Oryctolagus cuniculus: one gene and its partners. The main gene of each other region encodes a partner of the protein of the gene in region 3 in a complex. Links are inferred from orthologs where the notes say so. Each region holds a gene or a part of one and is shown on either strand. Other genes may lie near its edges.

Evidence for each region.
Region 1: the proteins of UNC80 (region 3) and NALCN are in contact, whole or in part, in a cryo-EM structure (PDB 7SX3), measured with the Homo sapiens proteins. The link is inferred for Oryctolagus cuniculus from reciprocal best matches to the Homo sapiens genes UNC80 and NALCN. Residues at the interface, in NP_115893.1 of Homo sapiens: Lys1979, Asn2004, Glu2005, Cys2006, Asp2007, Leu2128, Arg2129, Leu2130, Pro2131, Pro2134, Arg2135, Ile2138, Asp2139, Phe2142, Phe2145, Ser2146, Glu2179, Asp2184, Glu2185, Met2187, Leu2188, Asn2191, Asn2194, Ile2198, Leu2199, Glu2202, Ser2226, Leu2227, Ser2228, Gln2231; in NP_001337678.1 of Homo sapiens: Asn639, Met643, Val644, Ile646, Lys648, Leu649, Pro650, Phe653, Val655, Pro656, Lys657, Ile658, Arg659, Glu660, Phe662, Met663, Lys664, Gln665, Phe666, Ile667, Arg669, Val711, Ser713, Arg715, Ala716, Arg717, Leu719, Lys722, Glu723, Ala725.
Region 2: the proteins of UNC80 (region 3) and UNC79 are in contact, whole or in part, in a cryo-EM structure (PDB 7W7G), measured with the Mus musculus proteins. The link is inferred for Oryctolagus cuniculus from reciprocal best matches to the Homo sapiens genes UNC80 and UNC79. Residues at the interface, in NP_780719.2 of Mus musculus: Gln23, Thr24, Trp27, Ser31, Leu34, Arg35, Pro36, Ala80, Pro83, His84, His87, Ser94, Asn95, Asn180, Ala183, Leu187, Phe190, Leu191, Arg337, Leu340, Gln341, Pro342, His343, Arg1317, Asp1320, Glu1321, Asp1324, His1545, Val1546, Asp1547; in XP_030102533.1 of Mus musculus: Thr120, Tyr123, Ser127, Ala130, Thr131, Leu168, Ser169, Ser172, Met175, Ile176, Gln179, Tyr180, Tyr207, Tyr211, Gly212, Pro213, Ser214, Val390, Cys391, Glu394, Glu402, Phe405, Arg472, Cys541, Asp917, Phe920, Ser965, Glu966, Phe967, Ser968.

What each region holds. Positions count from the first base shown.
Region 1 is NC_091440.1:11,691,532-11,695,967, forward strand, and holds part of NALCN (sodium leak channel NALCN), read left to right. Parts: coding exon 1-48; intron 49-703; coding exon 704-819; intron 820-3,062; coding exon 3,063-3,220; intron 3,221-4,436. UniProt on the Homo sapiens protein: Voltage-gated ion channel responsible for the resting Na(+) permeability that controls neuronal excitability. NALCN channel functions as a multi-protein complex, which consists at least of NALCN, NALF1, UNC79 and UNC80.
Region 2 is NC_091451.1:38,575,002-38,579,437, forward strand, and holds part of UNC79 (protein unc-79 homolog), read left to right. Parts: intron 1-761; coding exon 762-924; intron 925-3,308; coding exon 3,309-3,458; intron 3,459-4,056; coding exon 4,057-4,436. UniProt on the Homo sapiens protein: Auxiliary subunit of the NALCN sodium channel complex, a voltage-gated ion channel responsible for the resting Na(+) permeability that controls neuronal excitability.
Region 3 is NC_091434.1:30,083,577-30,088,012, forward strand, and holds part of UNC80 (protein unc-80 homolog), read right to left. Parts: intron 2,820-4,436; coding exon 2,603-2,819; intron 1,939-2,602; coding exon 1,798-1,938; intron 581-1,797; coding exon 312-580; intron 1-311. UniProt on the Homo sapiens protein: Auxiliary subunit of the NALCN sodium channel complex, a voltage-gated ion channel responsible for the resting Na(+) permeability that controls neuronal excitability.

The DNA of each region.
Region 1 (4,436 bases), on a different chromosome or scaffold from region 3:
GTTCCTTTTATGTCATCATTGCCTACATCATGTTAAATCTGCTCGTAGGTAGGTGATATTCATTGAATATGTTTTCATCTCTTTAAACTCAGGTACTTAGATAATTATGTACAATTTTCAAATAATTAGCTTGGATTGCTTGGGGTGGGTATTTCACAGCATGAATTATAAATGGTTGCCTTCCAACCTAGAAGCTGGAAAGACCTTTGAGAGGCATGTAAATGACAGTTGATTGCAATTTTAAGAATCGTACTCTTTATCATAATTATTAATTTCCAAAGAGCTCTTCCCATGGATTGAGCTGAACAAATATGAGACAGGGCCACTGTCAGCCTTGAAATACTGCATTTGTGTTTTTGAAGGATACATGTTGTTCACCAGCTGTATGACCACACACAATTCAATCTGACCTTTAAAAGCTGCCCTGGAACTCTCCACTAAGAGCTAAAGCCAGCTGGCATCAGTGTCATCTACACAGAGTGTGTGTGTGTGTTCATGACCCTCATGTTTTGGAAAGGCGGAAGCTGGATGAATAGCTCAGTCCAAGTATAAAACATGCCAACTTGGAAGCCATAGTAAAAGCACTTTAAAAATTTGTTCTTATAATGTAGATGATAAAATCCATTATGTATAATAGGGGTTTTTACTTTTCCTAAAAAAGCGACAGCTTAGCATGATTGTCTGACTTCTGAATTTTTTTCAGCCATAATTGTAGAGAATTTCTCCTTGTTTTACTCTACTGAGGAAGACCAGCTCCTAAGTTACAACGATCTTCGCCACTTCCAGATCATATGGAATATGGTGGATGACAAAAGAGAGGTAGGAGAACGACGCGTTTCATGCTGCACCCCAAGAGATCTGCTGACGTAGCTCAAAATTTACCTGGCTTTGTGGCTGGCAGTGGACTTACATGGAATGACCACTGGTGAATTGCAGAAAGCTGTTGTTGACAATTCTGCAGAATGTGTGAGGAGGAGAAAGGACAGAGGAGTTCTTCCTCTTACCCTTTCCAGCCATCGACAACCTCTTCCTCCAACTTGCGTGAGGTCAGCAGGGACCGGAAGTCAAAGCAGCTCAGAAGGAATCCACTGTGGGCTCAGGGCGGGAAAAGGGGGAGACTGAAGCTAGCAAAGGGACAGCAGATAAGCAGGCTCATGATCACAACTTGGAGCAGCACTGCTGATTAAAGCTACAAACACATTATTTAAGGTTATCTCAAAGGGTGTTTTGATCCATTTCTGAGTTATTACTTGAAGGTTTTGACCCTGAAGCTTACTGGTTCTCTAGCGTTAGCCAAAGCAGCAGCAGTTTCTTCTTCCTCATCATCATCCCACTCCTTTCACTTTTCTTCCTTCTTTGTCATAACACACACTCGAGCACATTCTAGACACTGAAGATGGAGAACAAGACAGACAGGCCCTGGGAGTCACACAGCTTATGTCCTACAAGGATTAGCCATAGTAGTAGCACAGTTTGAGCATCACTAATCCAAAGATTTGAAATCTGAAACGTTTCCAAATCTGAAACTGTTTGAGCACCCATGTGGTGAGTAGAGAATTCTGCACCTATGTGACAAGTCTCAGTCAAAAACAGGCACACTAAAAATAGTGATCAGACCAACTTCAGGCTATGTATAGAAGGTAAATAATTTTTGTTTAGGCTCAGTTCCCATCCCAAGACATATTATTATGTATATGCAAATATTCTAAAACCTGGGGGAAAATATGAAATCCAAAATACTTCTTACTACCTACCTATTCCAAGAAGTTTGTTAAGACACCATTTGGGACATGCACATCCTCTATAGAGTATCTGGGTTTAAGTCCTGGCTCCACTCTGATTTCAGCTTCCTGCTAATGCACACCCTAGAAGGCAGTACGTTATGACTGAAGTAGCTGGGTCCCTGCCACCCACGTAGGAGATCTGGACTGAGCTCCCAGTTTCAGCCTGGCCCAGCTCCAGCCATTGTGGGCACTTGGAGAGTGAACCAGCAGATATGAGATTTCTCTGTGTGTTTCCTTATCTAACAAATTTTATTTTAAAAAATAAGCTGTAAGTATTTTATAGAAGGTAAAATGATAGAGTGTGGTTGGGGTCACAGAGACTTCTTCAGCAGGGATGGTGATGGAGTATGGAGAGGAGATAATTGACCTAACATCTAACAGACAAGAATTCAGCCATGGAGGGTCTGAGGGAAGGTCCATAAACAGTGCCAGGAAGAGCCAGTGGAGGGTGCAGAGACCAAGGAGCCAGTGAAGGTGTTGCAGCTCAGGGGTCCTGGCCTTGAGCAGGACCTTCCCTCTCTACCCCACTTTGCTCTTCCTCCCCTCATTGAAGATTCATTCTTTCAGAATTTCTCCCCCAAGATAATGACCTGTAGGAAGAGTACCTGGTCTAACTCTTTCATCTCCTCTGGATCCACTTGAAACTTCCATGGCTGCTGCCTTTAGGAGCCTACTTCCACGCAATACACACAGGGAAACCCATATCACCATTCACACTGAGAGGTTAGCAGCCGACAGGAAGTCACGGCCACCAGTGTTATCCAAAGACACCCAGGGCTGGCAGGGTAGGTGGTGACGCCTTTGAGATTCCTCAGGGTCTGGAACTGTTCCGATCCAGAAAGGAGGAGGAGCCGGGAGCCCAGTTCTCTTGTCTATACTTGTTGTAATCTTGGGGAAGAACTAGAGAGCAGCTAGCCTCCCATGGAAGAGCAACTTGTAACAGATACTACGAAGCATGTAGCATTTGGAGTACCTGAAGGAGGGCTATGCTAGAGTGCGAATGGGTGATTGGAGCCCCAGTGGGGGCTTAGTCAATGGAACGAGCTGCATGAGCCTTACCTGTTGGTTCCAGGGAAGCCCAGGGGAGCTTACCACCCTCCTTGGCTCCAAACACAGATCCCATTGGAACAGAAGAGCACGGCTTAGCTTTTTGTCACACACTGCCTTGGCACACATCTGTGCCCCAGCCTCCAGGGCAGTGTGCTTTGGCTTGGTTGGTTGTGAGAAGGGCAGCCCCAGCGTGTCCCTCCGGCCTCTGACGGCTCGCTCTGCCCACAGGGGGTGATCCCCACGTTCCGGGTGAAGTTCCTGCTGCGGCTGCTGCGCGGGAGGCTGGAGGTGGACCTGGACAAGGACAAGCTCCTGTTTAAGCACATGTGCTACGAGATGGAGCGGCTGCACAATGGCGGTGACGTCACCTTCCACGACGTCCTGAGGTGGGAAGCCTGGGAAATACAGCTCAGAGCAAGGCTGTTCTCCAAAAACGCCAGGTCCACCGCCCTTACAAAGCACAAGTGGCCTTTCTCACCGTCCTGTAGGGATGCCTTCTGAGAGGGGTGGGCAACGGAGGGCTGACATCCGGAGTGGGTGCAGTAGGAGGGTCTGGGGGCACAGCCACCACTTCCTGTTGGGAACAGGGCCATGAAGAGCTACGTGATGGTCCAGGCTCCTGGGCAAAACTGGGATTAAAACCCAGGTCCTCTCTGATAAGAATGCACCTGGCTTGCTTTGGGGCGCTTGGGCCCCCTGCTGGCTCAAACACATTTTCCTAGTATTTCCTGAGCATGCAGACAGAACACAGGGTCAGACGGAGGCTGTGCCATTCCTTTCTGGGAGAGGCATCCATATCAGTTAGCCAGGGCTGCTGTCCCAGTGTCCCACAGAGACAGGGGCCTGGCAATCAGGAATATACTGCCTCCCACTTAACAGGGAGTCTGAGATCAGGGTGGGGGAAGGAGGGGCACTGGCTCCTTCTGAGAGGCCGGAGGCAGAATCTAATCCAGGCCACTCCCGAGTTTGTGGTTGCCGCCAGTGTGTGGCTTGTGGACGTGCCACCCCGATCTCTGCCCTCACCGTCACAGGATATCCTTCCTGTGTGTATCTCTGGGTATGTGTGTTGGTGCACACACTCACGCTCAAATCCCTCCTTTTGTAAGGACACCAGTCCTCCTCACGCCTCTAGTCCGGGCGATCTCATCTTGACTAATTACACTACAGTAACTCTTGGGGTCCCTCTCCGGGGTGCCAGGGGCCAGGACTCCAACATACCTTTTTTGAAGGAAAAGCATTCAAATCATTTGAGCTTCTTCAACAGGAGCCCATGGATGAAATGCAGAGGGAACAGCGACATCTTCCTTTTCCCAAATCGCTCTCCAAATATGCAGCGTTTTCTTCCGTACGGAACGTGGGCCACCATCCACAGTGGCGTTAACAGTGCCTGCGACTTTGCACCAGGAGAAATCACAGGCATTAGCAGATCACATTCTGGACTGCCCCGGCTGCTGTGCGAAAATATCACTTAGGCTCGCCAGTACTCCAGAGTTACAGCAGTCATTTAGCTTCAGCTAGAGGTTATTAATGGAATAATGAAGAAGTACGTAGGTTACTCTATCATCACCTTTTCAAGGAAAATAATTTGAGAACCGTAGTTCC
Region 2 (4,436 bases), on a different chromosome or scaffold from region 3:
GGAGCTGCTGACCGGGTGGCTGACCACTGATACTCAGCTGTCTAGAGGGAAATGATGCTATACCATTTCACATATCAAAACTGCCTTCTCTCCTTCCCTCACCTCCCTCTCTCTCTTGCTATGTAAATACTCATTGTGCATATTTACTGTAGATATATAAATGGAAAGCTTAAAACTCCATAAAACCTGTGATGACAATAGCTTACCAACATGGAACACCCTTAGGGATTCAAGTTGAGAATTTTGTAGGGTAGAAGTTTGACCTTCACAAGAATAATTGTGATATGTAATTAGAAGAAACAAACAGCTACTGGAATAAAAATAGACAAGGGAGACCATGTCATTGTGTGCTCTAAAAATGTTTAAAGCAAAAAAAAAAAAAATGAATTGTAGGACATTTATCAATAACTACTGTTTATGCTTGGAATCTCGCATTTTATCTAAGTATTAATTATTATGTCAGAAAACAAAGAAGATACTTGAAAGTGTATTCACCCACCAAAGGTTTCTGCCAGATAATTTTCTTGAAAGCAATTGGAACAATGAACTGTCATGTGTTGCTGTCAGTGGTTTGGCGCAAGAGGAAGGGAATATGATCCCTTTAGAAAATAAGGCGTGCTCAGAATCTGTGCTTTCAATTGTCTGTGTGTATTTATTTTTATCTCCAAGTAATACGGAGGAATAGATCTGGCCAGGTCAAGTGGGAAGATGTACCCTGTGAATTAACCGTTTGTGTCTTTCTCCTTCCGTTTCTTGTTCAGTATCCGTACCGAGACTGTGAGATCAGCAAACTCCTGCTGCACCTGATTCACATAACAGTCAATACCCTCAATGCCCAGTACCATAGCTGCAAGCCCCATGCCACGGCAGGACCTCTGTACAGTGACAGCAGTAACATCAGCAGATACAGTGAGAAAGAAAAAGGTACTTCCATCCTGGGATTCTCTCCCAGACTTAGCTCAAATACAAAATACATTTCTGTACAGTGTTTTTCTTACGAGGTAGAAGAGCACCCTCCGATACCATTCTGGAGTCCAAAAAAAAAAAAAATCACTGACCACTTAGTTAATTTTCCCACTTTGCCATGAATGTTATTGCTTTAACTTTCTAATTGGGCATTCGAGAGAAATAATATGCTTCTGAAGCCCTAGCATGTTTTATAAAATATATGCTGCTGTTTGATTCAGAAAGCTTTGTAAGCCGTTCCTTGAGTATTGGAAATACCCTGCCCCTGGGCTGTGAGTAGATCTTGGTTGGCACTTGGGGGAGCCATCATGTGTAGGTCTCTAGCTTGCTCCTGAACTTAGGGTTCCCAGGATTTGAACAGAGTCTCAATGGGCTGATGTGCTTTCCCCCAGCCTCATTATTCAACAGGGAATAATTCAAGGCAGTGAAAGTGACACAGTTGTGCTGCGTAGATTTAAATCATTTCCCATGTTGACACCATTTCTATTGATAGAGTTTCCTCCAGGGAGGCAGTAGAATGAAGATGTAGACAGAGTGAGATCACAGCCTGGGTGTTTTCAGGTGGAAGACGAAGAATGAAGGCGTAGCCTTCGGCTTGTAAAAGGCAGCACCATCTGCTCTAGTCCTGGGAGAAAGCCGAGTGGGTCGTGATCCTTGGTGGTATTAGTACAGTCTGATTTGGTAAGGCTTCTGGAAGTGTCTCCATCGAATGGGTTGTAAGCAGCGTTGCACTGGTTTTTGTGGAACAGTCCAAGAACCTAGGGTGTCTGCAGACACCAGTCTGAGAACTGGGTTCTGTAAGTTCTGGTGTCATCCGGATCCTTCCGGAAGCATGGCTTGGCTATCAGCTTGGGTCTTAGTGTCTGAGAGTTTAGATTCTGATAAACTAAGGATGTAAAACCTTTCTGGGTGGGAGGTGCCATCTTGTGGTCTTCTGTCTGTTGTATAATAGAAGTGACAGTTATTTGCTTGAAAAACTATATTTCAAAGGAGATTGTTCTGAAAAGGAAATAAAGACATAGATCATTTTGTTGCATTTCCCTGCAAACAGGGGCACTTGATAGGCATTCGCATCTCTGTGGAAGTTCCCTGGAGGGGGGTTGTCTCCATTTTGATCGTGAACACTTTTTGTTTGGTTAAAAAGATTAGTATGGTTATTTCATCTACAATTTACTGCTTCCAGTTTCATATATTTGTGGAATCTTGTGTATTGGAACAGAATCAGTCCTTTAATTTTTCTATACCCCCTTGTAAGAAATCTCGAATAATCATAATCACACCTGAGCCTTATTTTGTCACATAGGTAGATCTACATATAGGCCAAATAGTATACTTCCGGTGATATTCAACTCAAATATTAGCTTATCTCCATTTGTTGTGGTAGGAAATGCATTTAGTAGCCTTTTTGGGGCTTTGCTTTTGCCATTTTGTGGGTAGCTTCGGCTTTGTGAAGGATAAAAGGAGGGAATTTGTTGAGTGCACTCCTTGGCTAACAGCATAGGAATCGTTTCCTCATTAACTGTACTGGGGTTATGTCTGCGTCCAAAGTGGCCCGATGGGGGTAGAAGCAAGGCCTGGAAACAAGCGCATCAGGCGCTCTGAGAGAATGCCTGCCTGCGGAGCCTTAGGGCCGCGGGAGCGCAGGTTCTCTCTGGGATTCCGCAGACCGAGAGCAGTTACGTGTGGTGGACTCCTCGGGGGAGGGGCTTCCACAGGGAGGAAATATTATTTTCTGTTTCCTTTTTCCTTTGTTTCCTCTTTCAGTCCATGATCATTTGTGGAGCTTTTGAGATGACCAGTGGCTTTTCTAAGCTTTTTCTGTGTGTTGTGTGTTTCATTACCAAATGTAGAGTACAGTATTTTGCATTCACAAAGTATAAGGTGCATGTACTGTTAGGCTGTGTCTATGCCAGTTCCCAGATCCCAGGGAGGCATATGCTTTTTTGGAAAGGGCAAGACCCACTCATGATGTTTGATTTCGTTTTGTCAAATGAGCTGCCCAGAGCAGGCAAGTTCAAGCGGTGTCACAGATTCCTGGAAAAAGTCCTGGCATCTGTGTGTCACCGGGTTCTACGCACGCTGGAAACGGTCCCCAGGAAGGCTCTACTGAAATACTGAGATGCCTCTCATAAAAATGCTGCCAGTTGTCACATAGAAAACGATGGTGGCTCTGCTGGATCGCTTGTTGCATGGATAAAACACCCACCTGTGGCTGGGCGGGTGCTGGTGCCGAAATCACTGCAGACTGTGTTCCCCAATGCTTTCAGTGAATTGCTTGTGTAGACACAGCCTAAGAGAGAATAACCTCTTAAGTGTAATTTTGACTTTCTCTCCCCAATTAGAAGAAGATAGTGTTTTTGATGAATCTGATATTCATGATACACCTACTGGACCCTGCCATAAAGAGTCTCAAACTTTTTTTGCAAGATTGAAAAGGATAGGCGGCAGCAAAATGGTGAAATATCAGCCGGTTGAGATGAATGTTCAGAGAAGTATGAATTTTTTCTCTTAGTAATTTTATGCAAAAATGTTGTACTCTACCGTTTGTTTGGGGTGAAATCTTAATTTTATTATGTTACTACGCATTTTAAGACTGTTGATTTATATATATATATGTATGCACAAACAGTATATATATATACCCGCTTATATATATACGTGAATTGACAGATACGCCATTAATGTCATGATCGTCTTCGAGGGCCATTGCTTGACTTGATTTGTTGCAGAATGTTTGCTTCTCTTCCACCCAATTTGAATACAGTTTCCTAGTACTGCCTCAGCCAACAAACCAACAAAACACAGATTCTTTCTGCTGTGCACAAATGAATAGAGCTGAGGAATTATCCCAAAGCCTGATTTTTGGAAATCAGACCTTAAACTATCATTTCGGTTTCTTTCATTGCAAAGTTTTCCAGTTTTTGAAATGAGAATGAACCTTACGAAAACTTGGCCAGATAGTTGGTTTTCTTTTCTAGTGGAGCTGGGATTGTCATGATGATTTATGCCAATTGTATGCCCGGATACCAGGGGTTAAAAGAAGGTGGACTCTCCAAGTGAAATAGTACTAGCTTTTTCTGTTTTAATCAGGTGAAATAGAGCTGGCTGAATATAGAGACACGGGCGCATTGCAAGACAGCCTTCTACACTGCGTGAGAGAAGAAAGCATCCAGAAAAAAAAGCTGCGCTCTTTGAAGCAAAAATCTCTTGATATAGGGAATGCAGACTCCCTTTTATTCACGTTAGACGAGCACCGCAGGAAGTCTTGCATTGATCGCTGTGACATAGACAAGCCTCCTGCCCAGGCTGCTTATCTCGCACAGAGACAGAGCGACCACGGGCGTTCTAGGCAGAACTCAGCCACGAGGCCAGACCACCTTGAGATCCCTGAGAACCCTGCCCTGGAGGGTTTTCAGGAGGCGCGCAGGCCGGTGATACCCGAAGTCCGGTTGAACTGCATGGAGACCTTT
Region 3 (4,436 bases):
AAATGACCTAGCAAACACTTACATATATATGTACATTTATATATATATATATATATATATATTTGGGATTCACTAATTTTTCGTTATAAAAATACTCTAAGATAATATCAAATCTAATAGGACACTTGAAGAAAGAGAAGGTTCATCTATGACAATTGATACATTTGCAGCATTTCTATATGAGTATTGCTTTTTAATTTTACAATTCAACATTTCTAAGAATCTATGTGCTCACTTGTTCAACATGACAGAAATCAGGCTAAAGAGTCAATATATTTCTAGGTTTGGTAGGAAAGAATCTTGCCCCTTACAGAAAGATCAAGCATGCCATTCTTGTGGACAAAGTTACTGGTCCCATCAATGTGTTCTGTGTCCTCCAAGTAGCTGTAGTTTATGCAGGAGTCTGTAAGGCTTCGAGGAAGGTTTGCACATGCCAGGGGTTCATGTGGCATCTCTGGGATGGGCACCTGGTTGCAGAGCTTCCTCATGTGCTCACTGAAGAAGTCTGCGTAGCCTACATTGAATGATGCCAATGTGGTGTTGAAGGTTGCAACCGTTATCGTGGAGATCTGGGATCGCACTAACAAAACGAAAGCAATGTCTTAGTTTTGTCCACATCAATCCGCAACATCAGTTCAACAGTTAAGCTAGTATTAACAGTCAGAGCTGTAGCTTTTGTACATGTTTGATTCATAGTCTCAAAACTATTTCAGCTTCCCTGAAATTGCCAAAGCTGTTAAAGCCATGTAATCTGATAAATAATTATAGAAATGTATGGATTCCAATTGGCTTCTTAAGGCTAGCATTTAACTTTTGTCTAACACTGACTTAGTTTGGTTGATCATAATAGGTGGATTTGACCCACTGATAGGTGACAGACAATACTTACATAAACTAGATTAGTTGAAGTATTTCATGTATGTTTTTTTAAAAAGACTTATTTTATTTATTTGAAAGGCAGAGTTACAGAGAGGAGAGAGGAGAGAGAGAAAGAAAGAGAGAGGGAGAGAGGGAGAAGGAGAGAGAGAGAGAGAGAGAGAGAGAATATCTTATATTTGCTGATTCATTCCCCAAATGGCTGCAATGGCCAGGGCATTGCCAGTCCAAATCCAGGATCTAGGTCCCCTCCCTATGTTTATGACAGTTGAAATATGTGTTTTTATATAGTGAATTAAGAAACAACAGAGTGGAAAAAATTTATTCTCATTTAGTATACAGTAAGGGAATATAAATTCATAGTACTAACTAATGTCATTGAATACTTGAAATATTCAGGGAGAAGGAGGTTAAGGTTATACATAATAATAAGAAAAATAATTCATTATTCAAGAACAAATGTAGATTAAGAATTTGTCGTTGGTTCCACCCAGAGACATATGTTTGCTCCATATAAAGTAAATAAGGCATTTCTCTGAAATAGACACTGTGGCCTTGGAAGTCAGTGACCTTCCTCCTGCTGAAGGTGCCCATGCCTTTCAGAGGGATATATTAGAGCATCAAAGCACTCCATGTAGCTGCTTCCGAGGTCTCAGCTAGCCCTGTGGAACTATGACTTCCTGAAGACAAGTATGAACAGCTTGTCCTTGTTCTCTCTGAAAGGTGTGGTGGTCTTTATCTGGTGTCAAATAACTCCTGATGCTAAGAAGACGCTAAGAATGGCTCACAAGTAAATTACCAAGCAATATCATGCAAGATACATGTTTTCAAAAAACTTAAGAAAGTGGATAACAACGAAAGTGGAACATGGTGTAAGAACAGGAAAGAGAAATAGGAACACAGGTGCGAGTTCCTGCCCACCTTCTTTGACGGTGTTTTCTCCGTGGCTGTTGGAGTGGTCTGGCAGGTCACTCACCAGCGTATGATGGGAGTGGGAGTGCCTGGCACTCAGGCTCTCCATCTCCGTGGCTGCATCTGAACTGCCCCGCCGGGTCAATTTCCCTGTGATGAACAAGACCAACACAAGAGGGCTGTAATACCTGAAAGGGTCTCTGCCCAGGTTTTGTCTTTCCAAAGGACACGCAGTGAGAGTGAGCGAATATTAGGAAGAGCAGGAAGCGCAGCCAAAATAGCAAGAATTAAATTTGCCTTGGGAATAGTCAGGGGGCAGGATGATTGATGAAGTTGCCTGTGATAAGGTCAGCCCCAGTCTAACTCAACTGTCAGAAGCCATCTGCCGTGGGCCTCCCAGCTGTCAACTTTTGATTTCAAGCTGGTCTGCTGGATATGCCTTCAATAAAGGGGAAATGTTTCATTTTCTTTGCTTGCTTTTCCCTTTTTTAAAAAATGAACTCAATAAAAGTTTGTCTTTAGATTCAAAATGAAAGGCAATTCCCAGTACCCTCTGATGCCGTTTCAGCATCTAGAATGATCTAAGAAACAGGGCCATTACCTAATTATACAGCATTCTTGCAGAGTCAGCTACATTCTCTGCGTTTCTTTGTGAACACACAGCATTGTTTTGGTGCTGGGGAGCCTGAGTCTGGGCCCAAATTTCTTGTCTAAACTGTTTAAGAAAAATTCAAATTTGCCCAGGAGCTCTAGATCCAAATTCCTGAACAGTTCCCTTGAGGTCTGCCCTATTTTGAAAGATCTTTGTGTTCACCTAAAATGGTGGTTTGCCAGCCTCCTTTTTCAATGCCTCTCCTGTCTTCTCCAAGTCCAGAGAAGCTGCCAAAGGAGAAGGTGCTGCGAGTGGGAGACACATCCAGGTGGTCCTCGTGAAGCAGGAATGGCACTCCCATTCTTCGTGGCCTCCTCTTCCCCGTGTGGTGGAATGGAATAGAGCCTTTCCTCTCCCGGTCTTCTTTGCGGCTCTTGAACTACAACAATGAGAGGAGGAGGATTAGCCACTGGAAAGGCTACAGTTTGCTTCCCAAGAGGCTCCTTGATCCACTATAGAACACAGAAAATATTCAGGGAAGACAAGACCCAGAGAGTCATTCAATATCATCCAACAGAAATAGGAGATTTTCCCCTATGTGCTAAAGGAACAAAAGAAATGAAGCTAAAGTCACACATGTCATGAATCTTTCAATTAGGACTGATCAGGGTGGTGGTCCTTTAGGTGTGGATTGGCAACATCAGCATCACTTGGGAACTTGGGAGAAATGCAATTTCTCAGGTTCAACCCCAGACATCCTGCATCAGAAACTTAGAAAGTGAGGCCCAACAATGTGGGCTTTAACAAGCCTGTTGGTGGTTTTGATGCACAATTAAATTTGAGAACCACTGGACCAGAGAAAGGGATTCCTGAGTAAATAATTGGATGAGCCTTTTTGCTGTCCCATTTTTCAAAACTGACATCCATTGTCTTGTCAGCCAACTTCAAATCTGTGCTACTGTTCATGGGGGGAAGCCACAGAAGACAGAGAGCACTCATTGGTACAAATCCATCATTCCTGCCAGGCAAAGGAATCCAAGATCAAATGAAATAGGAGTTTAACACTGCAACTGAGAAGCTTTCAAAAAAAATGCCACTACCTGGGCTTAGCCTTTGGGAACTCAGATTTAATTGATTTGGAATTAGGCAGGGGCACTTATATTTTTAAAAACTCCTCAACTTTTTCAGGTACAAAAGTGTCAAAAATGTCTTTTCCCCCTCAAATAGCAATGTTTTTGGGGAAATGAAAGCCATTGCTGATGGTGCATTATTAATGAAGACAGGGCTGTTTACTTTAACAATACTCTAAGCTCATACGTAAGTTAATATGTTCTGTGGTTCTACATTGACACATTAAATTAATAATTTTGAAAAAGAGAAAACCACTGTTTATTTTCAGTTTACACATGTTATTTTCTACGTGGTTAGTACCATGTACTTAAAAAAAAAAATGAAGTGTGGGGCGGGTGTTGTGGTGCAGTGTGTTAAGCCACCGCTTGGGATGCCAGCATGCTGTATGGGAGTATGGCTTTGAACTCTGGCTATTCTGCTTCTGATCCCGTTTTCTGGTAATGCTGAGAGGCAGCAGCAGAAGGCTCAAGTCCCTGCCATTTGTGTAAGACTAGGATGGAGTTCCAGGCTCCTGGCTTTGACTTGGCCCTGGCTGTTGAGAGCTTTTGAGGAGTGAGCCAGAAGATGGATGATCTGTTTGTGTGTATGTGCACGTAGGGGTGTGTGTGTGTGTGTGTGTGATTCTTTCAAATAGATGAAAATAAATAAACATAAAAATAGGAGACAGAGTGTAGTGGTGGTTTTACAAGTGCATGAACTATTTAACTAGAAGGCTCACTTTTGAATTTAAGTTTAATGTTGGACAAATTGTGTAACATTTTTAAAGGTCAATTTATTATCTGCAAAACAGGAAGAATAAGGATCTCACTGGATCAAATAATATGATATAAATTTTATATAAAGTACTTGAAAAATTAGTTGAACCACACGAATATAAGTTACCATTATCGCTACAACAACCATCTCTATACCACAGGCTGCAAAC